Schizosaccharomyces pombe: one gene and its partners. The protein of the gene in region 1 interacts with the protein of each later gene in a biochemical or structural test. Each region holds a gene or a part of one and is shown in the gene's direction. Other genes may lie near its edges. The genes, in order: cul3, ned8 and nep1.

Region 1 (12,731 bases):
GTGGAGAAGATAACATTAATATTGTGATCCGACATATGTTGCTCTGCCTTGCACCTAGTTGAGTATCCCGAGATGTAAATAAAGTAGTAACGCCTAAATCAGATTTTGTTATGAGATCATTTAATCTAGATATCTCTTGGTACAAAGCTGTGTATATTACTGGAGAAAGCTTTCTTAATTGATCAATATCGAACCTGAACAGTGAATTATCATTAAAAATTTCCCAAAAATCGCGCCTCCATGATTTACTCAAAAACGGATGTTTACTCAACACGAGCAATAAGTCCAAATGATAAGTGGTGAGTGATTCCGGAAATGTCCTAGCCTTTACTAAAGGAGTTATAAATACATTGACGATTGATGTAGCCCAAGCAACTAGTTTATCTTCTTCCTTAGAAAGCTCGGTTATTTTTGGAACAAACTCAGAACAGAAAAAGTCAAGCAAAGAGGGATCTAAGTATTTTACGAATAAATACACGGAGCTAGTTTTCTTTTGTGTTTTGGCAACCTCAAACGTGTCTGCAGCAGCTTTATGATACGCCAGAAAATCTACAGTTAGGTTTGGATCACTTGATTTTCCTGCATGAAATAAGACTGAGGACAATGTTTTCCCCATCAAATCAATAAAGTCTTTTTGCTGGCGAGATTCGCAATAAGTGTTCACGTTTTTTGCAACTTCCAGTAGCATTCGTAAACATACCAGCAAATAGTTTTTAAAGCTGTTTGAGGAAGAAATAATCTCCCGAACAAATTTTGAAATTTCCGTAAAAATCTTAGATGTGTTTTCGCCCTCCACTCTGGAGACGAAGTCAGACATACAGCATAAAATATCGAGTTGTGTAATCTTTGCTGTCAAACTAGAAGGCCCTGCATAACTAGCTATTCCTTCACGTGCAAAAAAAGAAGAAACTAATTGCTTAACAATGTACTGAGGTTCAGAATCACTAAGAAATGAAAATATATCCCATATACACTGGCAACACTCAACATTGTTCTCCAAATAGATTTGTACCAGCGTTTCTACGCATTCAAGAGGTTCACAGAAGTAAAACTCTTTTAATCCCGATAAGGATGCTTCTTTTAAAACCGATGAATCATTCATAAATACTTTTGACGTTTTATCAGCATATGAAGACCGAATATGCCATGAATATGATAAAAATAATGTTTGCAAAGCATCCTGCATAGTTAAAAGCATAGATAATCTCTTGTTGACATCGATGCTAACGCCTGACGACTCCGCTGCAAACACACCAGAAATGACATTTCCGATGATACCATTGGCTTCTAAATTACTTTTCTTGGGGCCGGGTGAATATGTGAATTCCAATAAGGCTGCTGAAACTAACTCGCTAAGCATTTTCAACTTAGCAATAAAAACATCCATGCACGCATAATCTTTTACTGGGTCAGGGTATTTTAGGTACATAGACTCGTGTTGGTCAAGAAATGAATGAACAAATTTGCACAAAGATTGAATGGGATTAACCATCAAAAGTTGAAGGTTTTGTAAAAGAAGAGGTAAAAGCTTCTTTATAGCATGTAGCCACTTTGGCGAAAGTCCTGGATCATCATTCAACATTCCAACCAAAACAAAATTGGACAACAGATAATGCTGTTCAGAGGAAAGATCTATAGTCCCATCTAATCGAGAGAGTAAAAATTCTAGCATTTGCAAAAGACTCAAAATAAAACTTCGATAAGTTGATGAAGGAGAACGCTCAACTTCCTGTACAAGCGCAAACAACCCAACGATTAGACTAGATTCAAATTTTAGAGGGTTTTCCCATATGGAGGTTATTTGGTAAAGCAATCGCAAAGCCCAGGTTTGAATAATATACACATCTGTGCTCGTTTTTATGTTTTGAGGAGTTAATACTATATCTAAGCACAGTTTGACTAAAAAAGCAAGAAATGAAGAGTAAGTTAAAGATTTTTTTTGAATCAAAAGGGCGTCAGCCCAAGTGACCAGGCATAGTTCCTCTACCTGCTTCGCACTCTTAAGTCTTCCTTCTTTAGGATGAAGATCTTGAAAATAAGAAATTATACGAGTGCAAAGTTTTAGAAAATATACACATCGACTAGCTTCACTATTTCTCTGGTCCTCATTTATATTATATCTGGTCATAGCCGTTTCCAGAGAATTGACACTGGTTAGATTGGGAGATAAACTCAATAAATTTTCAGTCATAAGTTCCAAGACACGTAATTGCAAAGAACTTGATGCATTAATCCAATTCATCATTGCTGTATAATCTCTCCCAGACTCATCTTCTAATAATGAATTTAATAAAAGTAATAGGGGCCTGTCAAAAACGAAATGAAACAGAGATTGTTGAGCTTGAAAGTTAGAAAACAGTAAAAAAAGAAAAGAAAACAAGAAAAACTTACCACTCTTCTTTAAAAGATTATAGAAAGGTGTATAGTATATCGTTGGAGCTCTCAGCTCAAGTTGCTCTTTCACAATGCACGTTGAAAAGTACGATTCAATTATTCTAGTTTGAAGTTTCTCTTGGAGGGTCCAAATAACAGATAAAAGCTCCTCTTCTCTGAAATAAGAAAACATACATAGCTCACACCAAATCTACATAGTCAGTACGTTGGATATCATAAGTACTTACCCTATCCAAAATCACATTGACGCAAGCTGTAGAGTTAATCAAAATCCTTGATGGCAATTGCTTTACAAAACTACCAAGGGTTTGAAAACTCCACGAATTATCTTTAAATCCCTGTAAGGATAGATCAAGAAACTCATTTTCAAATTCGGTGTCTGAAGCTTCCTTGATAAGATTAAGAGATATTAATAAAACTTCATGATGAACATGAGAATCTTTTATGTATTGCTTTAACAGTGACAATAACGAACATTTGCATTTTTTATACAAAATCTCATAAGTTAATATGCCATTTTCAAAGTCCGAGTCTAAGTTTAACGTGCATTTCGCATAACTGTCAATAGCAGAATTATTATAATTAAAAAAATTCCAGTCGAAGTTATTCAATAAAATTTTGCAAATAGTCAAAATAGTCATAGAAACCCCATCAACATCAGAGTTGGGAGACGTTTTTTCAAGATGCATAAGTAAGTTTGTGAAAATTATGAATGAATATTCAGTATTTATAGACTCAAAGAAGAAGTTCTGACTGTCCAGGATAAACTTTACGGCTTCCGCAGAATCGCTATTTTCCGTAGTATTCGCAACTATTTTATTGACACAATGAAACAAAAAAGTGTGTAATTCGGAATCGCTAAACTTCATTATTAAGCGTCGTCCGTGATCTACGGCAGATTCATATAAATGCTTTGAATCATCTCTATGAAAAACATTCGTGAGAGTTTCGTAAGAATGCAATACACAGGGTAGTATCTGGCTTTCGACAATTGTAAATAAAGGACGTCGATCAGATAAAGCATATAGAATACGAAAAGCTTTATAAAAAGACATTAAGCTATTCTTGGATGACAGAAGATCTTTTACACCTTCAAAAAATATCGCCATATTTTGCTGTAATGTATTTTCATCAACAGTAATTGAAGAATCAGATATCGACAATTCTGTATCCTTAGACAAACCCATCAACCAAGCATAAAATCTCCTATTTAGAGATAGATCGTTCCTTAAAACTATAGAAGCAACAGACATATGGAGGAGCTTTAAATCGAAAGGCTTAACATCTTTATAGAAAGTTGACTGTATGGGAAAGTAATTAAGGAGTGCATCCATGTATCCTCTTTGTACAAGGATATCATTGTCGCTGATAGCTGCTGCAAAACTTCGAACAACCAACCCAGAATCAGGTTGAATTACTCGTGTTTGTATGTCTTCTTCAGCTAAATTATTACATACACGGAGCAGATAGGCTAAAGCACCCGGCCGTTGACTGGGAAAACTGAGAATAGTAGACCAAATACAACCCCAGGCAAATTTTTCATCATTTAAAACTTTCACCAAGTCATCTAATAGATGGTAAACTTCCTGAGAAGATTCATCGACATCTTCCTCTAAGCCAGATAGAAGAGAAATAAACACAGCTTGAAAACACGGGCGTATCCCAACACCTAGGGAAACGTAATGCTTTTTGATTATATTGATATAATCATGTTTAGTTTTAATTGAAGAAATAGAAAAAAACGGAGTTAAACCATAGGACCATGTAGATAATTCATTTGTGAGAGTCTTGCTTCCGATTATTGTGAAAATGTAGTCGTAGACTTCCAACGTTTTTTTGTGAACACCAGAAGGAAGTCCGGGAGAGAGACACTCGGCCAAAGCTCGTGAAACTAATAAACTACACGGAATATTAACAAACGAAGAGTGAGTTTGCAAAACCTTGATATTAGTCTGTGTATAAATATAAGTGAAATCACTTACCTTGTGCAGCTTTGTTAAAAAGGAGATATAATCGGGCCATTGTTCTACAGTTTGGAATAAAGCTATGCATTTTCGTATGGCGTCTTGGTATTTTCGATATTTAGCATCATTCGAAGCGTCTAAAAGTTAATGTAAGATCATATTAAAATCGTACCAATTATAGTGTTCATAATACGCTCATAAAATACGGGTATAAATTCAATATGACTGCATAGAAACTATTGCACTTGTTGGTTAGTTGGCAAGGCTAGGAATAAGGCTAAGCTACGCTAGCATATATCTGGGGTATAGTGAGTTAGAAGTCTGTGACTTGCAATATGTGCTTCTGAGTATTTATTTACGATAAAACTGTAAACAATTATTTGGATGGACTTTTAAAAAAGTCACAAGTAAATTTAGTAATTATTCATTCTTTTTGTAAATTATACCAGAACCATTATTTTAAAAACGCGGTATGTGCTATTGTTACTAATACTCAATCCCACAGTAAGAACCTCACAAAATTGAACAGGTAATTTTCCAAATAATTACTGATGATTATTACAACAAACAAGTATTAAAAAAGTACGAAATAAAAAAATTAGTAATGATCCACGTATTTTTTTTTTAATACTAATATTCAGCAACGCAAGTTAATTCCTTCTTCTTCTTCATTTACGCGAATTTGAAACATGATTTGTACAGCAGAGAAGAACATTATAAATGCTGCTATCGCGGACATTGCACCTATAATAATTAGTTATACAAATCCGAAAATAGATAAATTTCTTACCTTTGAGGGTCAGAAAAAATGAGACAAGAACATTTTTAATTCCATCAATTCCAACTGCGAATCCAATCAAGTTGCAAATGATCATAAAGTAAATATTTAGAGCAGCCCCAAATCCAGAGATGTATCTATAGTAAGGGTGCTTAGTAAGACCAGTTCTACGCGACATAAAGCAGCATAATCGTTCTGGAAGAATAAATAGTACAATTAACCAACCCCACGCAAATAATTCCCAACTGATGTCATGCCAAAGAGCGACAAAGGTGAATATAATAAATAAGTTCAAGATTGAATGATTACTTCCTCCTAAAGGAACGTAAATATACCTAATCAACCATCGATTGAAACTACGGTGCCATGCTCGCCAAAATCCAACAGCTGAATAGTTGTTACACATGCATCGAACTATGTTTTCGGGAGGTTCGATATCATCAATTAATGACCATAATCTAAATAATCGCCACGGTATAAGCAATTTTAGCCAAGTCATAAATAGAACGATAAAGCTTATCATTGCGGATTCAACCGCACTGTATTGATTCCAATTTCCGTCCTTAGAAATAGCAGTAACGTATGCATAGTGAAGTAAAAACTCCATGGTGAGAACACATACTAAAAATCGAATTGCATAAAGAAGGTTCCTGTATTTTAGCGTTGAAACTGTGGGATATTTCATCTAAATATTAGCAGAAAATTTAATTAAACAATTTACCTGGGACATAAAATTGTTGAACGAAATGATAGGGCCCGCTAAATATAAAGGGGCATAAAAAATGTATGTCAAAAAATTCTTAAGATTATAATCTTCATCAAGACAAGAATAATCAACCCTTTCACGAAACGTCAATGTTGTTGGCTCACGATCTTTGTCAAATATTAGAGTCTAATGGTTATTATTTATAAACTCAAAAGGCATGTGCTCAAACTTACGTTAAGTTTTTCAGAGTTGTGCTTTAAGGACCAGTAATAATCCATATTAAATGACACGAGCCGAAGCATGGTAATGTTAAAAAGAACATACCAGCGCTCAAGAATCCCAGTATATTGATCCTGTAAAAAGATTAACATCTGATGGCTAAAGATAGCGTACCAAAAACCCTAGGCCTGGATGAAGGCTAGAAAATTTGCAATAGGCAAAATATTCTTTAAAAAACACCACTGATATATCTAATGTCCATGTCAAGAGTGGATTAAAAATACTGTTCTTTAGAGACTTAGAAATGAGATAATTGATCAATGCAATTGTTAAAACATATATAACGCCAGTCCCGTAGACAAGTAATGCAAACAGCAGGGAGAAGCAAAGTCGATAGTTGTTTTTTATAGCGAGTTCATCATTAGTATTTTTTGTGAAGACAAGCTTAACGAGTCTCCAGAGAAAATTATAGACAATAATTACAAGTAGTAAGATTGGCATATTTTCACGAAACGCGGAATACTGAAAATCAGCGGAATCGACTTTTTGTCCAAACAACCACCCAGGCTTTAAATATTTTTCAATGTTTTTGTAATTGGGATGTTTTGCTGACGCCTAGTTAGTTGCTTACTTTATTTCAAATTGATAAATAGAAAAGGCTGATTAAAGCTTTTGACACTTACGAGAACTAACATAATGAATTTTAAAACAAGCAATTGTTAGAATCGATAGAATGACAGAAAAGTAAAAAATAAATTCTATGGAACCAAAAGCGCTCTTTTCCGGAACTGCGCTTCGAACGGTCAAACGTGAAGATGAAGATGGATGACTTGAACCAGAAGTCGAACTTAACCGTGAACTTTTAGAATTGGGTCTTTCAGTATCTTTGGTCGAAGTCTCAAGAACATCAAATCGAAATAAACGTAACATCCTAGAAGTCTCCTACCAACAGCAAAGAAGATGGTCGGTTCTCAAAATATCATAGAGTAAACAAACCTAGTGGTGTTCACTAGCAAAATGCAAGACACTGCGTAATTTACACTTTGTGTCAGCTTCATAGTCCGTAAATAATTTTAAGAGTAAGGTAGAGAGAGTATGATGAAATCAATTATATTTTTAAAAATAATAAATTCAGTTTGTATTGTTTATTGGAATGAATAAAATAGTCAGCACTATACAAAACGCGCTATTAAAATAGAAATATTAATTAAGCATCTTTAAAGACTAAATTTTGATTTTGGTAAATTAGCAACTTATATATTGAAAAATGTTTTACATTCGTTTGCAATAATTCTGTATAGCCCATTTAGATCTCTAAAATCGTTAATTTTTATAATTAATTAATTAATTTATTTTTTTTTGGATATGATTTGCTCAATGATTGCTAAATTATCACATCTAGTCTAAAAATTCAAAAGATAATTTCAAGTTAACAAGCTCATATAATAATTAAATGTTCTATTAGAACGTCGTATATATTGACCAAAGTATTACAAAAATAAATAAAAATAATATATACTATAGAAATTAAAATAAACAATGACTATATCTTGCAATTTATATGCTCCTAAACCCAATTTGATCGCTCTCCTAGTTCATTTGGAAGAATTGGAAGAAGATGATTTTGCTGGTCGAATTTTAAATTGAGGGGGCTTAAATTCTACAACATTGCCATTGATTACTTGACCATAGCCTTTTTTAAAAGTTTCCCCTTTCTTAGCTAAAATGTCTTCAATCGTCACCCGTTCTTCAGAGAATATTTTTAAATGATCAGCCATCAAGTGCCGATTTTTGCACTTAGGACATTGAACTAAAACGGTCCCATTATGGTAGGCCTGCTTGGAGAAATTGTGATTTGACCTAGTGTTACATCTTTCATTTGGTTAGTATCCTTCAATGAAATTATAAATACTTACACGGTACAAGTAAAAGAAACATTATAAGTCGGTTTAGGTTGTAATTGATCAGCATCTGATTTTACAGAGGGAACACCACTTGCAAGATCTTTAGCATCGCTTTGAGTGAAGCGTTTGCATTGCCAATTAGAAATGTTTCTCACATTCGGGGAACAGAAAAGTAAACTTGAAACCTTTACCTTGTTTGAAAAATTTTTTAACTGCAAATTTCGTAAACAGAATTTTTGAGTATACCGTGCAAAGCTCCACATTATGTTTGAAAAATTTTTGTGTTCGGAGAATGTTGTTCGTAGTTAGTACCTTCTACCACCTTTTGTACCATTACTTCCGTCTGTGCTGGCGTTTCTTTATGCAAACTCATATGCCCATATATTTAGCTTTTTTGTTGAAACTTAACTTTAAATTCCATTATTAATGCAGCGGTCAGCGAAGTTAAAAATTCGAGCGCCACGAAAAGTAAGTGTACCTGATGCATGCTGTCCTTATTATTTTCCTCACATACTGACATTTAGTTTTCTGCTAACCAAGTAGACTTTGCTACACATTGGGAAGTCTTGCAGCGAGCTATTGGGGATATATTTCAGAAAAGCACATCTCAATTATCGTTTGAAGAGTTGTATAGAAATGCATATATACTTGTTCTACATAAGTATGGAGAAAAGCTTTATAATCATGTACAGGATGTTATTAGATCGAGGCTTAAAGAAGAAACTGTTCCAGCTATTTACAAAAACTATGACGCTTCCTTATTAGGGAATGCTCTATTGGATATTAGAAAAAATGATTCCTATTCTACTTCATGGTCGAGATCATTGGAAGCGGCTCATAGATTTTTATCGTCTTTAGTTAATTCCTGGAAGGATCACATTGTTTCAATGCAAATGATATCTAGTGTATTAAAATATTTGGACAAGGTTTATTCAAAATCTGCAGACAAAGTTCCTGTTAATGAAAACGGAATATATATCTTTCGTGAAGTTGTTTTGTTAAATAGTTTTGAAATTGGAGAGAAATGTGTCGAAACTATTCTAATTCTGGTTTATCTTGAACGTAAAGGGAATACAATAAATCGACCCTTAATAAATGACTGCTTAGATATGCTAAACTCTTTGCCTTCAGAAAACAAAAAGGAAACTCTTTATGATGTTTTATTTGCTCCAAAGTTTTTATCTTACACAAGAAATTTCTATGAAATAGAATCATCAACAGTCATCGGCGTATTTGGAGTTGTGGAGTATCTGAAAAAAGCAGAGAAAAGATTTGAGGAAGAAAAGGAGAGGTCCAAGAATTACCTGTTCACAAAAATAGCTAGCCCCCTTCTATCCGTTGTTGAAGATGAGCTTTTGAGTAAACATTTGGACGATTTGCTTGAAAATCAATCAACTGGCTTTTTCTCGATGATCGACTCTTCAAACTTCGAGGGTCTTCAATTGGTTTACGAAAGCTTTTCTAGAGTGGAACTTGGCGTGAAGTCTTTAAAAAAATACTTGGCGAAATATGTAGCGCATCATGGAAAATTAATCAATGAAACTACTAGCCAAGCGCTTGAAGGAAAGATGGCTGTTGGTCGTCTATCATCTAATGCTACAATGGCAACATTATGGGTTCAAAAAGTTTTGGCCTTATGGGATAGACTAAATACAATTATAAGTACTACTATGGATGCTGATCGGTCTATCTTGAACTCTTTATCAGATGCTTTTGTTACGTTCGTAGACGGATATACCCGAGCCCCCGAGTACATTTCACTATTCATTGATGACAATCTGAAAAAAGATGCTAGAAAAGCAATAGAAGGCTCTATTGAAGCAACACTTCAAAATTCTGTTACGTTATTTCGGTTTATTTCAGAAAAAGATGTTTTTGAAAAATATTACAAAACACACCTTGCAAAAAGGTATGCTTTAATTGTTTTTACTGTCTTTAACACTTTTAGGTTGTTGAATAATCGATCAATATCTTCCGATGCAGAGCTCGGAATGATCAGTAGGCTGAAACAAGAAGCTGGTAATGTTTTTACTCAAAAGCTCGAAGGAATGTTTAATGGTAAGTATTCAGACTTTAGCAAGTTTTTTTGCGTTCCCTTATTAATGCTTAGATATGAATCTTTCACAAGAATTGTTACAGGAGTACAAACATAATTCTGCGTTACAGTCGGCCAAGGTTAGTGGAAATTTTTATTGATAATCCTTTATACTAACAGTTAGCCTGCTTTGGACTTAAACGTTTCAATTTTGGCTTCTACATTTTGGCCCATCGATTTATCGCCTCACAAAATTAAATGTAACTTTCCGAAAGTTCTCCTGGCTCAGATAGATCAATTTACGGATTTTTATTTATCGAAACATACGGGGAGAAAATTATTGTGGTATCCTTCTATGGTATAGTAAACTTTTATTTGCTTGTTGCGTCACACTAACAATCCTATTTAGGGAAGTGCTGATGTCCGTGTTAATTTCAAAGACAGAAAATATGACTTGAATGTATCGACTATTGCATCTGTTATTCTATTGCTTTTCCAAGACCTAAAAGAAAATCAGTGTTTAATTTTTGAGGAGATTTTGGAAAAAACCAATATAGAAGTTGGGGATTTGAAGCGCAATCTTCAGTCCCTTGCTTGTGCAAAATACAAGATTTTGCTAAAGGATCCAAAAGGAAGGGAGGTGAATGCAGGTGACAAGTTTTATTTCAATGAGAACTTTGTTTCAAATCTCGCCCGGATTAAAATATCGACAGTTGCTCAGACTCGTGTTGAGGATGATAGTGAGAGAAAACGTACATTAGAGAAGGTAGACGAGTCAAGGAAGCATCAAGCAGATGCCTGTATTGTTAGAGTGATGAAGTATGTCTTTTTCCTTTTTTTTTTTTTTCAAACATTTTTACTAACAGTAAATTAAGGGATCGCAAAGTGTGCGAACACAATCAGCTGATGGCAGAGGTTACAAGACAGTTAAACCCTCGTTTCCACCCTAGTCCGATGATGATTAAGCGACGAATTGAAGCTTTAATAGAGCGGGAGTACCTACAAAGACAAGCCGATAATGGTCGCATTTATGAATATTTAGCATAGCAGCCTTAACTGTTACACGAAATGCAATATTCGTATACGAGAAATCATGTTTAAATGGAAAGATACCAATTTGTTCAAGATGATATCTAGCAAAAGCTTTGTGATTATAATGACACTCATGAATTTTACACCAACTTCCTTTTTATTTTTGAAAAAAAGAAAATTTTAAGTAATGCTATAAGAAGGTTTGAAAACAGGTAGATTATATTCCAAATCAATCAAAATTTGATACATTAATTCTGCGAGCAGATAGTAGAGTAATGAGTTTAAATTACATTGTTCCATATACATTGTACAAAAAGACCAAAACAGAAAAACCCTCAGTTTAAAATAGATTAAGGTATTTGATCAACGATAGATGGGAAGTGTTAACCTAAAAAATTATTATGGGAGGAAGCGAATTCGCCGTAAATACACTATCCTACACAGTATGCTTTTGATGATGACTCTACTAATAACATCGAAAATACCAGAGCAAGTAAAGCTCCTTATAATCTTTAAGGTGTTAATCAAATAATAAAGCTATGTATTTGATTTAGTATTGAAACACCTGGTTGTTTACATTAAGAATATTCTTCTTTCCTAACGGACTACGCTATCCTCTTTAGCAATCTCGGAAGAACCCCTAAAAATATCTACCGTTCAATGCTATTCTGTATATTCTCCGCTTAATTCTATTTGTTTAGGAAATTGTATAAATAACCTCAAATATCTTAACGAACCCCACTTGTTCGCCAATTTCATTTAATTGGTTCCGCGTACCACACTTCCTTTTAACCACCAAACACTTTTAAGTATCCGCAAGGTTGCCAAAGGTTGATTACAATCTCTTACTTTAAGCTAAGATACAAAGCTCTTTTTGATATCCTACTCGTCTTGCAGAGAACCTACATATTCTCTTTTTGTGACTAAACGTGTCTTGAACTCTTTAAAATAAGTGGCCTTTGCTTTTGAAATTTTAAAGATCTTTTTCTTTTCCTACGTAACTCCAAGTGTCAAGGAATTGCCATCTTTTCACTTCTTCCTTTCTTTTGTGTATCACTACTGAAGTTATCAAAATGTCCTTGCACGACGCTTACCATTGGCCTTCTCGTACACCTAGTCGTAAGGGTTCAAATATCAAATTGAACAAAACTTTACAAGATCATTTGGATGAACTGGAAGAACAATTCACCATTCCCACTGAACTTTTACATCGCGTTACCGATCGCTTTGTTTCTGAGCTTTACAAGGGCTTAACCACGAACCCGGGTGATGTTCCAATGGTCCCCACATGGATCATTGGTACTCCTGATGGCAATGAGCATGGCTCTTATTTGGCATTAGATTTAGGTGGTACTAACTTGCGTGTTTGTGCAGTTGAGGTTCAAGGCAACGGTAAATTCGACATTACTCAAAGCAAATACCGTCTACCTCAAGAACTCAAAGTTGGCACTCGTGAGGCCCTCTTTGATTACATTGCCGACTGTATCAAGAAATTTGTGGAAGAGGTTCACCCAGGTAAAAGCCAAAATTTGGAAATTGGTTTCACCTTTTCTTACCCCTGTGTTCAACGCTCCATTAACGATGCTTCATTAGTTGCCTGGACTAAGGGCTTTGATATTGATGGCGTTGAGGGTGAAAGTGTAGGTCCTCTTTTATCAGCAGCCTTGAAGCGTGTTGGGTGTAACAACGTTAGACTCAA
Region 2 (10,250 bases), on another chromosome or scaffold:
ATATCGCATAAATAAAACGTAGAAAACCTAAAGATAGAAAGCAATGAAAAGACGCGTAGGGGTCTCACTCAAAACAGTTATTACATAGATATAAATACTTACTAGTTTCAATCCAAACGTTTAAAGAGCGTTAGAAATCGTTTCCTTTCTAATCGCCTGTATTGAGGTATTGGTGTTCTGGAAATATCCTGACAGAGATTTGCCTCTTATATATATACTCCTATATATTCTTATAAACAGGTAGTGTCGATGTGATCGCACTCCGTGGAATTTGCAATTTTGCTTAAAAAATCAGCTAAAATATTGATTATGAGACTTATAGAAGTGAACCCTGAACTTGTTGGTCTTTGGTCGTATTATTTGATTTATTTCAAAGGGAAGTGTTTTAACTGCTTTTAATCACACTCGGACATCTTCACATTATCTTACCGAACTATTAAATAGATAGCCTGAAGGCTTGGAATTGTATTTCGCTTAAATTGTAATCTAGCGCAAATCTTTATGATTGTTAATATTAAACTCTTGCTTCGTACTATTGAATCAGCTAGCTCTTTGCAGGGATTACTTCAAACTTAGTTTTGCATCCGATCCTCAGATTGTGTATCTGATTTAATTTATGAGTTCAAACTATAGTTGCAGAAAACCGAATTACAAAAAGAAGTAGGAAGGAAACATGACACTTTTTTAATGTTTATAAAATAGTAAGATATCAATAAAGCGGAACGAGTTTTTGTCTGATACTACAAAACAAATTTTATCGAAATGATGATTTCAGCATTTTGCATTGATATAATTTTTGGACAAAAAAGCTTTTTTCCAATGTTCACAAGTAGAAATGGTATCTATTTGAACGATAAGTTAAATTCTTGACATTAGATTACTCTCATAGCATAAAAAAATATTGTAGGATTTGACAAATTTAAAGAAAGTTTCCCAAGAGTACTTGATGCAGTGAATCTTTGTCAAGTTTATATCGTTCACCTGAAGAACGAACAATAATTTCACATATTCCTTCCTCTTGAAATCTTGATCCTACAACTATTACAAATGGATATCCAATCAACTCAGCATCTCTCATTTTATATCCAAAAGCTCTATTTTGTCTGTCCTCCAACAGCACATTATCAAAGCCTACAACGTTAGCCGTGGCATCGTAAACCGTTTCAGCGCTCTGAATATGATTATCAGAAGTAGGAACAACTAGTACTTTCCAAGGAGCTATCGACGATGGCCACACTAAACCCTTTGCATCTTTGGTTACATGAGCGACTGCAGCTATAAGTCTTGAAACACCGATTCCATAACATCCCATATGAAGGACTTCCTGTTTGTTTTTTACTTCTACCGTTGCATTAAATTTGGAGGAATAAATTTTTCCAAGATAGAAGGCATGTCCTACTTCAATCGCGGTAGTTGAAGTTAGCTGATCATTGCAATTAGGGCATGAAATATCACTGGATGTTTTAGACAAATCAAGCATTTCGGAATTTGTTGAATAATGACAAGACGGACATGTATAGATTACATCTTCTCCCACAGGGTGTCGATAATGAAATTCGTGTGATAAGTTTCCTCCAATATTACCCGTAGCAGCTTTCACCATCACGAATGGCAATCCCACTTCTTTGAAAAAAGTATGATATGCTTGCAAAACATCCTCGTAAGTTTTCATAGCGGATGCTTTGTCGATATCAAAAGTATAAAGATCCTTCATCATGAACTCTCTACCGCGAAGAAGACCACCTCGCGGACGTAATTCATCCCGAAACTTTCGACCTATCTGGTAAACACGTATCGGTAATTGCTTTTGAGAATCTATGATTGTAGCCATAGTGCGAGTAACATCTTCCTCATGGGTAGGAGCAAGGCACATTTCTCTGTCATTTCGGTCATGAAGACGAAAAAGTTCACTTCCAGTCTTTTGCCATCTTCCACTTTTCTCCCATATCTCCTTACTAGAAAGATGTGCCAAACTGATCGCTGAAGCACCCAAAGAACGCATTGATATGTGCAACAAGTCACATATTTTATTTTGTACACGCAACCCCAGAGGTAAATATTGAAAAATTCCAGGCATAGACGGCTGGATAAACCCCATATCTATAAGTAACTGATTCGCTGATTCCGGGACATTGTATTTACGTATCGCTTTCCCTAGCACTTCAATCGATGCACGATTCCTTAAATGTTGTAGCATTTTTTAAACATGGTGTTTTTATACAAAAGCATATAAAAAATTTCAGAATCGCAAAATAAATGATCCAATAGAAGTAGTTTGTCAATAGTAATCGAAATAGGCGCTGGGTTCGTCCAAATAAATAACTGAGTTGACCTCCTTATTGCAATAAGGCTAGCAAAAAGTTAGGAATAGCCTACAGCACCCCGGATTCCCATGTTGTCTCCAACCATAGTACTAACGAGGCCCTCAGACGCTTAACTGCAGTGATCAGACGGGAACTGGTGTTTTCGCCTAGGTATGGCCGTAGACAGCACTATAAGTAATTAGTAAAATATATATATGATATCCTTAACCAGATTTTAGTAAAAAAAATTTGGAATTAATTGTGGAAATGTAATCTAAATTTATTGAATGTATCTACTGCTTCAGTTGCTTAAAGTATTTTACTTCTTAAATATCAAATTGATCGCAGAATTATGTGTAGATAAACGCTTAATTGCATTTTTCACAAATTTGTTAAGTAATCGTTGTAAATGTAAAGTAAATATACAAATGCAGTAATTCAAAAATAAATGCTGATGAATAAGAACTTAATATTTGCTGAACAACTCCAATTAATCTTCCAAGTTCTCAAATATTTAAAAATACTAAAAGACTTTCCTATATTTCCAAAACCCCGTTTTTTTTTCCATTCCCTAAAAATACATTGCTACATACTAAATCCAAAGGATGCTTGATTTTTTCTTTTTTTGCTTTTTTTCAACTGTCGGTAATCCTCTTCTAATTCAGATAAAGCATCCGATTCCTCATCTATTAAGTCATCGTTTTCCGTTTCTTGTGCTCCAGCTTTTGATACTATTTCTTGTTTCAGGTTATTAGAAGCTTCGTTTTTCTGTGCCTTCAAAAATTCTTTCTTGGATTTCCTTTTTTCACGTCGGGTGTTACGCTTCTCCTTTACTTCCTTTTGTTTGGACCAAGCTTCGTTCTTAATTTTTGCTGGCCGAGCTAATTTTTTGGGTTCAGTTTTTTCGACTTCCAATCGGCGTCGTCTGGCCTGCTCGCGTACTTGATCACGGTATGGTATGGTTGCATAATCAATGTCAAATTTTTTAAAAATATTTTCGGATATTTCGGTGTCTTTTAACTCTGGCATTTTTGGAAGATGTAATAAAGCGTATGCCGTGGCCAACTGTCCCAAATCCAAATCTTTGATACGAAAAATAAACGACGCATGATGTTTTGTGTACGCACGAACATGTGAAACAAACGCTCTTAATCCCTTATCATATAGATCTCTGTCTTTGGATACGATTTTTCTCAATTCGTGGGTTAATACTTTAAGTCGTGAAAGATCTAAAGCTTCAATTGGAGTGTCTATACGAGTAATAGGTACCTTCCTAACCCTTAACAATTCCTCATATTCTTCTTCTCTTCCATCATTTAACAAAACTATTGCAACACCCGCTCGACCAGCGCGACCAGCTCTGCCGCATCTATGAGAAAAAGATTTCGGATCCAAAGGCGGGTCGAGCTGAAGAACAAAGTCAACATTTGGAATATCAAGACCCCGGGAAGCAATGTCAGTTGTAAAAAGAACTGTTTTTTTATTTGATTTCTTAAATTTTTCAAAATTACGTGATCGATTCGACTGAACTTGCTGTCCATGCAAAGCTACTATTTCAAACGGTAATTTATAAGTGAGAAAAAGGGAGTTAAAATATTCAACAGAAGCACAAGAAGAAAAAAAAACAATTGCTTTTTCGTATTCGATCGTACAAAGCAAATGTATCATACATTGTACTTTGTATATGGGAGGAATCACTAAAGATTGTATAGCTAGACTTGACGGTGTTCTTGTATCAATTTTTTTTGATGTAACTGTCACAGAAACACGTACGCTATTTCGAAGGCCAGCAATTTTTAAAAATGATGACACAGTGTCATTCATTGTTGCGCTAAACAACCCAGTTCGACGTTGTTTCGGAAGTTGAGATATAATGGATTGTAATGTACGCTGAAATCCCATGTCAATAAGGGTATCAGCTTCGTCTAATATTAGTATTTCCAAATGCTTACTGGATATATGAGAAAGCATTTCATTCAATCGACCGGGTGTACCAATCACCACTGAGGGGTTTTTTTCCCGAAATGAAGCTAAATCATTCGTGAGCGTTCCCTTTCCCCCAATATACATATCTGCAACGAGTTTTTTCCCTCCATCCAAAGAGTCTGGTTGGTACGCCAAAAGCTCTTTGGTAACATTGAATATCTGTGTAGCTAATTCACGAGTAGGTGCAACAATTAATGCACCCAAACCTGTTTCGTCCGTATCTCTACGAGTGACTTTATCGAAGCAAGGAAGTAAATAGGCCAAAGTCTTGCCTGAACCCGTTACTGCTTCAACTACCAGATCTTTATTTTTCAAAAATAATGGTATGGCATTAGCCTGAACGGGTGTCATTTTTTTAAATCCTTGAGCAGCTACGGCGTTCTTTCTAGTTTATGTTAGTGCTTGTAAATTGTTGATTTGACAAAATCCTGGTATCATTTAGATAATAAAAATTTTTGAACAGGTTAAACATGTAGCAGAACCTAAAATTTTTATTTTAGAATTGAAAACTTACAGCCATTTATCTATATTAATACTCTGAAAACTCATTGTCCCCTCTTTGAAGACCAATTCAATTTTTCGCGAGGTGAGCCAGAGGGGAATGCTTATAGGGAGAGAGAGGAACTGCTAGCGTTTAACCACAACAATTTCAGAAAAGCGTTTATAAAAGTTAGCATGCTTATCAAAGTAAAAGTAAGATAAATTTATTTCTTTTTTATGTATACTAATATATAATCATAGACATTGACAGGGAAAGAGGTTCGTGTTTTAAATGTTGAAAACATTTATATGCAGTTATAATTCATCTATGTTTCTAACCAAAATATAAGATCGAATTAGACATTGATCCAAATGACAAGGTTTCTAGGATCAAAGAACGGGTTGAAGAAAAAGAGGGTATCCCTCCTTCACAGCAGCGTCTGATCTACGCTGGAAAGCAAATGTAAGCACTATGGGAACATCCATACAATGATTCTAACAAACATCACGTAGGGCTGATGATAAAAATGCTGAAAGTTATCATTTAGAAGGAGGCAGCGTCTTGCATCTTGTGTTAGCTCTTCGTGGAGGAAGTTGCTAGTTGTTGCATACTTTATTTATAAAGAAAAATTATGTATAAAAAATCATACTTTTATTTAACGCTATAAACGAAATCTTTTTACTGTTTTACTAATACTAAGAGTAACGAAATGAGAATTGAGTCGCTTTATTATTGCTCTGTTTCATTTTATGTGAATCTATTGATTTGTATAAAAATATTGCTTAAGCTTTTCTAAACTTAAGACGTTTTGGTGATCATGAATTTCAGCGATAAGATTGATTACTTCTTGTTAATTTATGAGTAAAGTAGTCGTAAAGAGACGTTTTGCACAGAAAAGTCAATATATAACAACAATTGCTTGCGCATTCCCATCTGATATCAAAGTATATAAAGCAGTAGCATGCGAAGCAAAACTTCCTCAGTACAACATCGAATGTAATTACCATAAACGCAAAATCTCTAGTAAGACTAAAAGAAAATGTTGTTTAAATAAAACTAACTGCAAAATGCTATGTAGCAAAAACATGGGCTGTTGTGGGAATCGAACCCACGACCACCATCACCCTAAGATGGTATCATACCACTAGACCAAACGGCCACATTGATAGGGGTGCCACTTAAACATATATAAAGGAAATATACATGTAAATCTATATAAATTACATTTTTAAGGAGGAAAGTATAATCAATATGCTTATAAATTGCCATTTCAATGTATTGATTCTCATTTTTCTATTTAAGAAGTTTTAAATTTTTTTTGTTTATGAGAAAGTGACATCGGCTTTAAGGAACTGCTCTATTTAAAAGCAAGAGAGATTCATTTAATTATAAATAGTCTGCATAAAGCCAAATTACTATTATAAAAATTAAAAAAAAATGATATTCTTTCTTAATTTCAAATTAATTCTGATAACCGGATTTTCGAAGTTTTATGTAATCTTAAGATTGAAGTACTAGTTTTTATAATCGTGAGTACAAAAAATCCATCCAAAAATCTTTGGGCTGTATATTTAAGAACAAATTAAAGTAACTTTAGTTTAATCAACAAAGGTAAGGATTTATAAACTTCATTAGGTGTTTTTTAAAGTTATTAAAAAAAAAAAAAAAAAAAAAAAAATCTCTCAAATTGTTCGGCTACAGATTTTTTGAAAGCTTCTATTTTCCAATAAGGATTCTAATAAAATATAATAAAGAGGGAAAAATGATGCTAAATTATAATTTTTTTTATTGGTTTCCCAAATTTTTAATCTTTTTTTATTGAATTAATGTTGTAATAATTTAAAAAATATTGTATTAAAGAGTAATGTTTATGATCGCAACTAAGCACTTTTCTCCGCCTGGCGGTAGTTCTAGCTTACTAAGTGCTATAATTTCACCTATTTAAATTTTTGATTAAAACCGTCAACCAAAATTATAATTCAAATGCGTGGATTTATTGCAAACTCTTTAAAGCCGCATATGAGATCTTTTGCTCTGCGCAGAAGTTTTACTAGCTCTCGTATTTTGAGAAAGGTGAACGCAGTTGAATCGTTTGGCGATTACAATACTCGAATTAGGTATGTATAGTCAATAATATATCATAGTAAAAAATAAAAGATAAAACTTTTTCGAATAGATCTCCTTGCTAATTGCTACTAGTGCTGACAAAGTTACCGTCGTTGATTTCTATGCAGACTGGTGCGGTCCTTGCAAATACCTCAAACCGTTTCTTGAAAAATTAAGCGAACAAAATCAGAAAGCATCTTTTATTGCTGTTAATGCAGATAAATTTTCTGATATTGCTCAAAAGAACGGTGTTTATGCCTTGCCTACCATGGTATTGTTTCGTAAGGGTCAAGAATTGGACAGAATCGTCGGCGCTGATGTGAAAACTTTATCTTCTTTGTTGGCAAAATATCAAGAATAGAATATGGGATATTGGTGTCCCCATTCGTAAATTGCTTGATTTACTTTCTCGATTCAATTTGTTGATTGCACTGTATTATGTCAAAACTAGGTTTTAAAAACTTGACACGGCTTATTTTATTTAAGATTTAAGATTTAAGGGTTTTTACTTTATGAATTTCATTATATAATTGCCGGACCAAATTTGCTGAAATCAAAAATATCCTTTCAGAAATACCTAATAGGGGAATGTTCAACTCAATTAACACAGGAAGCTACAAGAATGAGCTATTTTATAACAACGTGAGTATTTCTATGAGGTGATTAAGGAATAATTTTTGAGGTTCATAGATAAAGCATTAATATATCCTTTACGTTTGTGACATAACCATTCGATTTTGGATATTATTACACAGATACTGCTCTATTTATTCATTTAGACATAACACCATGAACGAGAATGCGTATATAATACACGGTTTTAAACCAGACAACAAAACATAATTTCAGGCATTAATCAGCAATAAAGAAAAATCTAATTATAGTTTTCGTTTTTAACAAAATTTGAGGCTCTAAATGTATAGTGTATTCAAGAAGTTATTCAATATCCTCAAAATAATAAATAGAAATTATGCGTTGAACACATAATATAACTTTGAAGGCATCAGTACTCTTTATTAAATCCAAAAGCTTAGGAATTGTATTTTCATCATTGCAACAACTTATTAATAAAGCGGCATACGCAAGTTGATGAGGATGTGCCATTAAACATAAACTGCTGGCATATGAATCGTTAACAATGCTCCTATTTCCTCGATCGTTAGAAAAATCTAATCGACTGTGATTTTCAATATAAGAAGTATACATACCAAGCAAACTCAAGCTGCTTTTGATTGATAATGCCATCATGAAATGCTTGCTCAAGAGAAGTGTAGGGATGGTGAACAATGAGAAATGCATCAAGGACTGAAATGATTTCAAATTCTATTTCGGAAATATTAGAACGACTAAGTTTAACTTTTAGGCTCCAGAGATCATTAGCCTCATTGCAAATTGTGCGAATGTGAACAGGGCATTCTTCCACTTTGCATGATAAATAAATGCATGTAGCCACTAGCGCCTCCAAAGAAAAACCCTTTTCCTCATTTTTTTTTAGCATGTAACGCCTTAATAAAACGATGGCTGTAGCTAAGACACGCTGCCGAAGCCTGAGCCTGTCTCCAAACGTTTGTACAACTAGAATTGTATCAGCAAAACGAAGTGTAAATGAAATCACAAGCTAGAATAAGCCGAAAAAAATTAATGAAAATATACCTTTCCATTGATATATTGTATCTTTAGATAAGCAAGTTGGTTCCAAAGATTCCAAATCTGTGGATAAGAATAATTGTGTTCTGTAAGGTCAGCTTGAAAAAGTATACTAAGGAATAATAAAGGTTCGAAGATATTTTAAACAAAAACTAACAAAGAGGCTAAAATCGCTTTAAATTAAAGTCAACGAAACGAATGAGAAGCCGAAATAAACTGTGATTGCAAGACATTTGCGCAAAATGACTCAAACAAGATACATCCAGTTTAGTCGATACTCGTGACTAGAAGTAGACAGAAAAGCTATTCCTCTGATCAGTAATTAGACGTAGATCAGCTCACTCGCAAGCCTCAATTTGTCAAGAATATGTTCAGCAGTAATAAAATAGAAAAGCAGATATTCAAAACTCAATTAAGACATTTTAAAGAAGAATAGGAATGAATTAAAGGCCAATTACCTTCTCGTAAAACCTTTAAAATTAAAATTGATAACCTTACAATTGACTAGAGGCCCAGTAATTTGCTGCCATATATCACACGATATTTTAAGCTGATTGACCCTTAAATATCATAAGAGATAATAAAAAACAGTGTCACAGATTTTACTATTTACGATAAATTTTCATGGGCTGCTGGTATGGTCAGATACATTGACCTGTGAGGACTCACCTATTTCTCTTTACCCCGGTACACTCATTACCGGCATGAAGGATGCCAACTGAATTATCTGATATCACTATACAAAGCGTACTTCCATGTGATTATAGTTTGTTTAAAAATAATTTACGGGTTTCAAGGCTTCCAGAATCGCGATTTGTTTTTTCCCCAAAAGAAGAAATAAATTGCCAATCTCTTCTTCAAGGTCCGGAATTGGTATGTTTAATGTAAAAGGATTTTCTTTAACCATTAGAAAACTGCTTTAGATAATTTAAACTTCATTCATAAACAGAAATTTGAGCATCAATTTCGACATGGCTATTGGAAATTGCACCCACATCCGCATCATCAACATGATTCAATAATTCCTGCAAGTTGGATTCATGATACTCCGCATATGAAACTCGTCTTTCATCGTTTACAGAATTTACCTGACGGTGATCTGTTACTAGAGAATGACCCTAAAAATAACGTTGGTTATTTCATTAGCGGAGGGATTGCTGGAATCGTCTCTCGTACCTGTACAGCGCCATTAGATCGGCTAAAAGTCATGTTGATTTCAGACACTGGTTCTAAACCTTCCCCGAAGTATCCTTTTGCTACTTTGCTACATACCACTAAAGTTTTATGGAACCGTAATGGGATACGTAGCTTCTTTGTGGGAAATGGCATTAATGTTTTAAAGGTGATGCCTGAATCCTCCATAAAATTTGGTACATATGAAGCGATGAAACGAGTACTTGGAATATCTTCAAGCTCTGAAAATCATAGTCCTCTTTATTCTTACTTAGCCGGTGGCATGGCTGGTTCAGTTGCTCAAATGTTTATATATCCGGTAGATACTCTGAAATTTCGCATTCAGTGCAGCGATTTATCTCGTGGTCAGCATGGAAAAAGCATTATTTTGTCCAACGCAAAGGAACTTTATAAAAGCGTTGGGATACGGGGTTATTACAGAGGCGTGCTCGTGGGCATACTGGGTATGTTTCCATACAGTGCAACAGATTTGGGAACATTTGAGGGCCTTAAGAGGACATGGATAGGTATCTTAGCAAGTCGTGACAATGTCG
Region 3 (9,956 bases), on another chromosome or scaffold:
TCCAATGTTTCTGATGAATCACCAAAAGGTGAAGGCTCTTCCCATTCAGACAACGTCGTGTTATCTGACGGTAACTCTGTTAAAAAGATGAATGAAGATGGGGCAGACACTTCACTACTATCTGTTTCCGAGGTGACTTCACACCCTCCAACAGAGTGGACAGGATCGCCATTAGCGCATGTATTATGTTCTGATGTTGTTAACCTTTCAGTGTCCACCGTATTTAATTTACTATGCGGCTCTGATACCACATGGATAATTAACTTTTTTAAATCAGAAAAACTTACAGAAATTAAAATTGGAAAATGGGAAAAAATTGATGATAAATGGAATCGTAAGGTACAATACATCAAACCCGTTGCCCCCCCTTACCGACAAACTAGTTGCTACATTACCGACACAATACAACACCTTGACATAAACAATTATATTGAAATTTTATCTACTACCTCAACACCTGATGTTCCCAGTGGTACTTCATTTGTCGTAAAGACCTTATATGCACTTAGCTGGGCTCATTCTTCAAAAACGAAATTAAATATAAGCTATTCAGTGGAATGGAGCAAAAGTTCGTGGCTTAAAGGTCCAATAGAGAAGGGCGCCCAAGAGGGACAAGCATCTTACGTTAAAGATCTTCTGACTGCTTTTGAGAACTATAAGGTCTCTCCTAAGGGAAGGAGGAAGAAAATAACTAAACATACCAAGAAAAAGAATAAGCATGCGTCTGAAACGTCTGTTGCTCCTGAAAAAGTAGACAATTCTTCAATCGAGCAATCATCATCTTTTCTCACAAAATTGTATACCTTTCCCTTTACCATAATTACCTGGCTAATGCATCCTACACACTTACTTCTGGTGGTTATGTTTAGTATGCTTGTATTGCAATGGTGGTACATGCAACAAATATTGCATGCTGAGCTTCCCTCAACATCTTCTCGTTCAGATTCATCCAGGGACTTAGATTTTGACCACATTCCAATGGACGACACAGCTTTTAAATTGTGGATTACTTCTAGGTTGGACAGCGTCGAACGCGATAGGGATTTCGTTTATGAAAATAGTGATCCGAATCTTGAACATGGTAAAATAAAAATTGCTACTGATTATATGGAGCGAAGACTTAAAAAGCTAAAGGAAAGACTTAGAAAACTAGAGGCAAGTGGATATATTTAACATCGGTTGATTCGGCGACTGAATTTTCAATGTATTTTTCCTGCTTTTTTCGTCAGGGCTTTTGCAAGTATATTTTTAAGAATTTATTCTTATTATCAATGATGAAATGACATTAATTAAGCTTAGAATTTTTTTTTAACAATTTAAGTGTAGATAAATCATCACTAAATTTTGCATGTTGCTTCACGAATAATAATGTTTTTAGGCCATTTTAACAGTCTAATTTTAACGAAACCAGATTTTTGTTGATTAAATCGTGTCTGTTAATAATAAACATATATTAATTACAAACGCTATTGTAAATAGTATTTCGCTGCATCGGCCTGATTAGCCAAAATGTTCAAGCAGCTTTCTTTAATAAAATCATCCTTATCGTGTGAACCAACATAAGATAGTGTCGTTATGACAGAATCAGGAAGATGCTTACAAGAATCAAGAAGCTGCACTGCTGCTCGTCGAAGAAATTGCTTGTCACTTCCCATTTCTAAAATCAAAATATTTTTTGCAGATTCGATGAAAGCATCACTTGAGGTCATTTGGCACAAAAGTCTAGCAATATTCAAGGAAGAAATTTTTATATCAGTATTTTCGTTATTAAGCATACTTAAACATGTTTGCTCAATTTGGCCATAGAATTTTGCTACCAATTCACCTTGCCTTTCCATAGTCTGATAAATAGCTTGGCCGATCAAAAGTGTTTCATCTACGGTAAATTTATTTGTGTTCGTATACTCTTTAAGTAAACGAATCAATGAATCATCATACTTATCACACAGAGAAACCACTGCAGATATGACATTCAAATGCACGTAGCTATTTTCATCACGTAACAAGTTTATTAAAACGTGCAAAACACGAACTGGATTAATACGATCATCTTTCTTCTCTATTAGCTTCCTTAACATATAAACTCCTTGTCCTCTCACTGGCACCAAGTCACTTTGAGTATATGACAGTGCTAACGAATAGTCATCTTTAGATTGTATAAGAGTTTTGTAAACGTCCTTTGCAAGGTCAGAAATTTCTCGGTTACTATAATTAGAGAGCTGTTCTAGTGCAGGAAGTAATGAAGAAATAGGGTTTTCCAAATCTAGTTCAGCGTTTCTCCCGATAACTGAAGATATAATGTTAAGCAAAACAAGAAGAATCTCTTCGTTCTCTTCTTCAACTTCTCGGTTAGTAGTAATCTGGGATATTTCTGTAGAGGAATACTTATTTTGACTAGCCACTTCATTGATCAGATTAGTGCAGACAGACAGCATTACATTACTAGGAATTTCATCTGAATCAACATTAGACAGGGCATATTGAACAAGTTCGAGTAATTCCAAACGCTTGTCTGGTGGCTGCTGGACCCATATTTCTAACAAGTTAGGCAGGAACATTGCTAATTGTGATTTTGTCAGTCTCTCGCAAAATATACGAAGATGTTTTGCATTTGTTAAATTCCTTAACAGCGATTTGGTACCACAGACTGATATAATACGAAGCAAGATATCCTGAACTTTAGAACGTAAAGTTGTGTTCTCCTGTAAGTGCAAAAGACTTGGTACACAAGATTCACATATGCGAATTATATCATCGTTTTGAATGTAGACTAATACTTGAAGAACGTCCAATGCATTTTCAAATGGGGATAAATCGATGACTTTCGGTGCTTCGAGTATTTGGAGCTTTTTAAGAAGAAAAGAGGTAACAATATCACAATGTGTATTTGTTACAGCAATTATGAGTTGTGACGCTAATCGAGGTTGAGTGCTGAAAAGGCTCCAAACCTGAGGAAGAATACACGAAAAATATTTCTGTGGTGAGATATCCTTTGGAACAGATGAAATCAGATGAGCGGCCTGTCGTGCGCGTTCGATTGAATTTGGCTGTGCTTGCATATAAACTTTGAGAAATCCTTGCACGCCAGTTTCTCTACAAAGACAGGTAGTTAAATAATGTTTCAATTTATCTTGCAACCAGTTATCTACATTCGGTTGTAATAGCGATAAACAAGAAGAAATCATTTTAGATGGATCAACCATTTGTGGAGACATTATGCTCGTTACTTTTTCTTTCCATGAAGGGTCTAAAAATAAAGGCCTGGGTTCTTCAATGAGAGAACCTTGTTCATGGCAGTTCAACAAATATAAATGAAGCAACAATAAGTCGGCATAGTGAAGGTTAAGTGGACCTTGTAATAAACTTGGAGTTAACAATAAAGGAAGTAAAATATTGTAAATTTGGACCAGATTTTTTTTGGGGGTATAAATAGGTAATGCCTTAATTTTCGCTTGCGATAGCATTTCTTTGGGGAGTTGAGTATAAACACCAAGCAAAAATGTAAGATGAACAAAAAGCTGCAAACATCGTAGAGAGGTAACACTTAAGGGTTGGTCTGTATCCAACTTTGAGATTTCCTCTAGAAGATTGAGGAAGTAATTCAATAAATCACCACTTATATTATCCTTCAATTTTTCAATTACAGGACGAGAATCATTCTTTTGATTTAAAAGCTTCGCAAAATCTAATAACTTCTGATTTGCATCCATGCGGAATATTGCTTGTAAAGTTCACTTGCTAAGTAGTGAACGTTATAAGTAAGTGAAGGCAAAAAACCAACTCTTATACTTTCCGTACTAAGAAATAGCAATAGCAAATATTTAGAATATGAGAACCAGGTACGGAAACCTTAATTATTTAACGAACTTTGTGGCTAAAATATGTGGATAACTAATTCCTGATCGTAGCAATAAATACTTGGGGTAAGTTATAACTAGACAGCTTTAGCTTGGATTCATTCAAAGAAATGGATCGCTATTCGACAACTGTGTAATTTTGACAAACGACAAGACCAAAAAATAAGACCGAATAAGATGTCCACAGTTTTAATGAAACGATAACCTCTTATTTATAAAATCTTCAAGATTCCAATAAATGATATTCCCTTAACACTATGTGTTCAGGTAAAATGATAGCATGGTTCTTGTATAGTAGCAATTTATGTGAACTTGCAATCCACCTCCACCATGTCGATGACAATTTTACCTTTAGGTATGTAGATTTATTAGTACATTCTAAATTAGTTTCATAATAAGAAAAGGGAAAAATTATTGATTTATGCCCTGGGTAAATCTGTTCATGCTAACAAGCAGAATTAATTGATAAATGCATTGGATCAAACTTATGGGTGATCATGAAAAGTGAACGCGAATTTGCGGGGACACTTGTTGGATTCGATGATTATGTGAATATTGTTCTAAAAGATGTTACAGAATAGTATGAAATATAATAACTTTAATTATCTTTGCTAATTTCTATGAAGTGATACTGTTACCGGCGTTACCGAAAAACACTCTGAAATGCTTTTGAACGGAAATGGGATGTGCATGGTATGTCAATGAAAATAATAAAGGAATTTTTGTACACTAACTATCTAGTTGATTCCTGGTGGAAAACCCGAATAAGTTGGTACTTGGCTATTTAACAGTCTTTTGAAGATGAAGGAAGAGTGATTTTTGTTATTATCAAACAAATGGAGATATATTGCACGCCAAATCTAGCTCATACTGTGTGCACTCCATATATGGTAAAATATCTAGACCCAAGTCTCACTTTTTACATTAATTGAACAACAAGCGTTGGTAAAGCCATGTCTTCGGATACGGTTAAATTTGATCGAGTTATTTAAAGAATTTGATTGCAAAAATAAGGTATTTTATAGGACTGGTTGCATGTTTCTGAAATGAGTGATTATTCAAAAATAAAGGCTTAATACTTCCATCCTCCATAATTTTTCCTATTAGTGATTGTATCTCAAATTATACTACCAAAATGAATTGTTATTTCAGATGATGTAAACTGTGTTAAAGTTAATTGTTTGAATGTAATCTGACTGTAGAAATTGGCATAAACGGGATATGCATAGCCTACGATGATAGCAATTTTTCTTCTAATTTGAAAGACAACATACTAAACATTGATTTGAGTAGCCTTTACAGGATCTTACTATTCAAGTTATCTCTTCCAGCCCATCTGGTTGAATCATACTGACTTTTTTTTGTTCATGTTGGCCAAAATGGGGATTTATTATGATTATACACTGGAAAAAGTATGAATATTTGTTGTTTATCATTAATATAAACTAAAGTGACTAACCTTGTTATTGTAAACTCAAAATTTTGAGAATTAGTATCTTCAGCAGTTTTATGAAGGAAACGAAAAAGTAAAATTAAAATGAAAACGAAGTTTAATACTTTGGATTTATATATCTCATCATTTATACATTTGGATTATTAAGAAATTTTTGAATCCTCTCTTCCCTTATCCCTAAATAGTTAGAGAAAAACGACAAAACTCAGCTAAAACCATTAAACTTTTTCGTTTTAAATTCCAATCTCGTTGCTTTTAGGACTTGACTTTTTACATAGATGAAAATCACTATCGTAATGCTTTTGCTTTTTTTCTTTGATTTCTTTTTTTTGGCAGATTACAGCCGTCTTTCAATATAAACGCTATATTACTACAGTCTTTGTAAATATTATCTACTTGGTGCGCAGGCCAACCCGATTATATACTTTGATTTAAATCCCATTTAGCCTTAGAATTTTCGTAACAATAGCTCTGGACTCCTAGTAAAACTGTATTGCTTCCTGTATATTTGAATCATAACTCTTTTTTTTAAAAATTAATCGATTTTGAATCAACTAAACTGATTCTTGCGAATAATACGGATTTTAAATTGAGATATAAAAAGTTAATTTATTAATCCTTTTACATTCATCTATCTACTTGAATCAAGAAAAAGTACTATGAAGAAACGCTCGTGATTTAATCTGCAATGTTTACAGTCGAGTTTGTTACATTTCACTAGTGCTTCATAAAAAATTAGCGATCTAAATAAGTGCACGCAACGTTGTATTCCGGTTGACAAGAACACGCAAGATTTCGCAATAACTTAAAGTCTAGGATTGGCGTCACAGACAGTAAAGACGTATTCGTCCATTTACCAAACATTTTTATAATAGTCCTATGTCCTTGGCGTTTACGCTTTTAACCTCAAAAGATAACACAGATGAAGATGAAGAACACTTGGAGCTTTCTTCTTTTAATCAAGAAAAGCTCTTGGAAATGATATCTGTGTTTCTCTCGCGTCTAACGCGTTTGAACGATAGCAAGCAGGAAGCTACTGAATCAGATCAAATACCATTATCTCCAACAAGTTTAAAGAACCCTTGTTTGATATTTTCTGCAAAAAATGTGCCTTCCATATCTATTCAGGCTTATCTAACACGAATCTTAAAGTACTGTCCTGCAACTAACGATGTATTTTTAAGTGTTTTGATTTACCTTGACAGAATTGTTCATCATTTTCATTTCACTGTCTTTATCAACAGCTTTAATATTCATCGTTTCTTAATCGCTGGGTTTACGGCCGCAAGCAAATTTTTCAGCGATGTCTTCTATACTAACAGTCGCTATGCAAAAGTTGGTGGTATTCCCTTGCACGAATTAAATCATCTGGAGTTATCTTTTTTTGTGTTTAATGATTTCAATCTTTTTATATCTTTGGAGGACCTTCAAGCATACGGTGATCTTCTACTTTCATGGTATCGGCAAAATGGGCAGAATTACAACCCTACCGATGTTTCATGCTCTATTGAATCTCCCATTTCCCATACTCCGCAACAAAATCAACAAGATGAACAGCCACGTCGGCCCATAATGGATCGAAGGTTACTCTCTTCTCACTCAATTGGTTAAATTTACTACTGTGTTTGGTCCTCCAAATTTTTTTTTGCTTCCATCTATTTATCTTTATTTTCTGTTGAAAATATTTAATCTGATTATTTAAAACTTGGAAAAGTTACCTTGGTGCCTTTTGTCTGTATATATATATATTTCATTCTGCTGTGTCAATGTGGATACGACTAGTTTCTGAATTTTCAAGTGGCCTTTAAATTTTGTACTTGTATATGCTATTTCTCCTTTGTCTCTTATTTAATGTTTTTATCTCAAAACATGCCGTTTCATGAAATTCTCATTTATTACATTCGGATTATCTGACTTGCAATAAGGTTTTTGGAATTTGGAAATTGCATGCTACTTTTGTATTCGGTATTCTACTTTACGATGCTTACAACGCTTACGGTATATTGTGCTTTGGTTCCTTGTTTAAGTTAAGGCTGTTGTAAAGGTCCGCTATGATCAAAGTCCTTAGCTTACTCCGCTATCCCTGTTCCATTTGTTCCTTTCTCTTCACGTTGCAATTTGTTTATTTCTGCCGCCTACTCTGCAGTTGTTTTTTTTTATTTTAATTAAGCCGTCCAATCCTGTTTGTTTATTGAGCCTTACTTCTGTTTGGTATAGGAACGCTGTATTCCCGGTCTCTGGTTCCGCTTTCAATTCTCGTGATTTTTTTGTTTGTTTTAACCCGATAAAATAAACATTTTATTTTAACACTCGTGTTACTCTTCCGTTCGAGCTGTTTTGTTTGCGGACCTATTGTTTGTTTAAATTCCTTTTTTTCCCCATTTCGTACTTACTTTTAAACAATTTTTAAATGAGCAGTTCTCCAACCGTTCTTGAATGTAAGTTTACACATATATTGTGAAATCTCTGTCTAGAAGCGTTTAAGTTTGCTGAATAAAAACTAACTTGTGCTATTAAGTATTTGATGTGTGTTTTAAGCAGGAAGACGTGGATAGCTTAAAAAAGCCAAACTGGTAAGGAAATTTGGATACATGTTTTACTTTTACTTTGTGCATCTGAAATGAATCTTTCAATTAATACAAGCTAGGTTCACTGATGTGAGTATTGATTATGTTGACGAGTTAATTGAGCACCTATGGTTTCCCTCATACCCAAATCAAGCTAATGAAATTTTGCTGCTTCGCCCTTCGTTAGTTTTTCTACTAGCAGAAGCTGCTATTTCTCCTGAAGAGCTCAAAGTTGCTTTGCCTAAAAAGTTAATGAACTGCAAATATTTATTTATGCCTATCAATGATTTGGATAAACATGCGGCAGGAAGTGGAGGTTCACACTGGTCTTTAATGGTCGCAAGTATTCCTGATGGGCAATGTTACTATTATGATTCTCTCAGCAACGGAAAGACAAAAGATTGTCGCAGTGCCTTGGCCCGTGTTTCGGATCTTTTCAAAAAAAAATTTACAATAGAGTGTATGCCCGTACAACAACAAAGAAATGGATATGATTGTGGAGCACACGTTTGTGCTTTTACCCTTGAACTGGTTCGGCGTTTGTTACATTCACCGATGCCCACTAGCTCTATGTGGAATTTGTCTACATTTCAGCCAGATGTAACAGCTATTCGGGAGCAGTTGAGCCGTTGCTTAGACCATATAATTAACTCCTTGGGGACAAGGGTAAGCGGCGATTTTGACGAGGACTTTCCTACTGGCACTGTGTTTTTTGACTTAGAATCTCACCTTCCTCTTCTCGATGTTGCCCTCCCGGTTCTACCTAAATCATCCGACTCATCTGAAACATCACATGAAAGCTCTAACTCTAATTTGAAGAAGTCTTCAGAGTCAGGATCTACTAATCACCATAATAACCATGAAAGCGATAAGGACCTGCATCATGAAGGCCATCATCATCACCATCATCACCACCATCATCATCACAGTCATGACGATGACCCTTCCTCTCCTGCTGAGAAGAAACAGAATCATGTGCCTTCACCTTCTGAAAAGATACAAGATCATGTGCCTTCACCTTCTGAAAAAAAACAAGATCGTGTTCCTTCACCTTCTAACAACAAAGAAGATCATTTGCCATTACTCTCTGATGAGAAACTTGACAAATCTGCGATTGACAAAATTGAGCCTACGCCATTACCTTCTGTCCATATGAACAGTCATATAGCGAAGGGGGAGTTACCGAAATTTCATAATAGCACTGATAATCCTTTTCTCACTCCTCCGGAAGAACTTGTATCTGGTGATTTCCCTTTTTGATGCTACACTTGCGTTGTTTAGTTTCGAATATACAAACTAGCGGGAAGGCTTGTTTCAACTCAAACAATCTGAGTTTTATCCTATCTTGTGATGTGAATGGTTGTGTAATTTTTATCAGCAGTCGCTAAATCTTTTGCTGTTTACAAATATGTTATTATTATCACGAGTGCAATAATCGTTTGCTTAATTATTGATTGAAAAATGTTTATACAAGAGAAATTATTTATTTATTAGTAAATGACTTATCACTTCTTTATTTTTAGGTCGTTCATTATTATCAAAAAAGTTTGATAGTAAATTTCAAAAATTTTCATCCACAGTTTCTAATTGTACATTTCGTGAGTTTTGTCGATCTTCATCAGTTGCAAATGGGGATGTTTGATCTGAACTGGTTAAGATCGATGATTGATTGTCGTTCGTTGTAATGGAAGTCTGCGTATTCTCAAATCCTTCAGTCCCACTCATACCATTGGAATTTAATAGTGAATCAGCAGAAGTAGTTTGTATCCTTTCATTAATACCACTTGCAGCTTCTAACTGATTTAAAGATGTACGTATACTATTGTAATCAGCACGAAAGTTAGAAACCGTTTCTCGTAATTCATCAATTTTGGTATGAAGTTCACGAAGCTGAGAAGATATATTAGATGAAGCAGCGGGAAACGTATTAGACGTTTCATTCGACTGTGTTAATCCTCTACTCAATGGTACAACGTTGGGTAAAGAGGAGCCAAGATTATTATCTGCTGATGATGCGTTTTGATATAAAGATGTCATTGCTGAGTTGGTAGATAGAGATTGAGTATTGCTAGATACTAG

The links.
Region 2: of the proteins of cul3 (region 1) and ned8, one has a biochemical effect on the other in vitro, tested with the Schizosaccharomyces pombe proteins (one study listed by BioGRID).
Region 3: the proteins of cul3 (region 1) and nep1 form a complex in vitro, tested with the Schizosaccharomyces pombe proteins (one study listed by BioGRID).

What each region holds. Positions count from the first base shown.
Region 1 is NC_003424.3:484,276-497,006, reverse strand, and holds cul3 (cullin 3), read left to right. Parts: upstream 1-8,292; 5' UTR 8,293-8,391; coding exon 8,392-8,433; intron 8,434-8,489; coding exon 8,490-9,874; intron 9,875-9,913; coding exon 9,914-10,023; exon of another isoform or gene 10,024-10,075; coding exon 10,076-10,140; exon of another isoform or gene 10,141-10,184; coding exon 10,185-10,358; exon of another isoform or gene 10,359-10,409; coding exon 10,410-10,819; exon of another isoform or gene 10,820-10,875; coding exon 10,876-11,047; 3' UTR 11,048-11,284; downstream 11,285-12,731. Other genes in the region: dop1 (family protein DOPEY), read right to left, coding at 1-2,340, 2,392-2,584, 2,622-4,334, 4,377-4,495, 4,531-4,546; gup1 (MBOAT family O-acyltransferase), read right to left, coding at 4,996-5,102, 5,149-5,821, 5,858-6,028, 6,076-6,195, 6,236-6,669, 6,745-6,991; TIM23 translocase complex subunit Tim15, read right to left, coding at 7,657-7,933, 7,978-8,228; hxk1 (hexokinase 1), read left to right, coding at 12,106-12,731. UniProt on the Schizosaccharomyces pombe protein: Probable core component of multiple cullin-RING-based BC3B (BTB-CUL3-BTB) E3 ubiquitin-protein ligase complexes which mediate the ubiquitination and subsequent proteasomal degradation of target proteins.
Region 2 is NC_003423.3:2,314,971-2,325,220, reverse strand, and holds ned8 (ubiquitin-like protein modifier for cullin Ned8), read left to right. Parts: upstream 1-4,925; 5' UTR 4,926-4,964; coding exon 4,965-4,982; intron 4,983-5,030; coding exon 5,031-5,048; exon of another isoform or gene 5,049-5,119; coding exon 5,120-5,232; exon of another isoform or gene 5,233-5,282; coding exon 5,283-5,370; 3' UTR 5,371-5,463; downstream 5,464-10,250. Other genes in the region: SPOM_SPBC24C6.03 (proline--tRNA (Pro) ligase), read right to left, coding at 920-2,197; ATP-dependent RNA helicase Spb4, read right to left, coding at 2,889-4,674, 4,804-4,838; thioredoxin Trx2, read left to right, coding at 6,754-6,887, 6,970-7,237; cyclin CycC-like Srb mediator subunit Srb11, read right to left, coding at 7,813-8,020, 8,085-8,451, 8,530-8,609, 9,022-9,053; SPOM_SPBC12D12.05C (calcium-binding subfamily carrier protein), read left to right, coding at 9,235-9,396, 9,434-10,250.
Region 3 is NC_003423.3:3,297,117-3,307,072, forward strand, and holds nep1 (NEDD8 protease Nep1), read left to right. Parts: upstream 1-7,418; 5' UTR 7,419-7,720; coding exon 7,721-7,748; intron 7,749-7,828; coding exon 7,829-7,883; intron 7,884-7,957; coding exon 7,958-9,137; 3' UTR 9,138-9,437; downstream 9,438-9,956. Other genes in the region: sterol transfer protein Ltc1, read left to right, coding at 1-1,173; RNA polymerase II nuclear import protein Rtp1, read right to left, coding at 1,467-3,710; U6 snRNP-associated protein Lsm5, read left to right, coding at 4,188-4,212, 4,314-4,437, 4,484-4,550, 4,599-4,625; psl1 (pho85 family cyclin), read left to right, coding at 6,190-6,921; synviolin family ubiquitin-protein ligase Hrd1, read right to left, coding at 9,438-9,956. UniProt on the Schizosaccharomyces pombe protein: Protease that catalyzes two essential functions in the NEDD8 pathway: processing of full-length NEDD8 to its mature form and deconjugation of NEDD8 from targeted proteins such as the pcu1, pcu2 and pcu4 cullins and other proteins.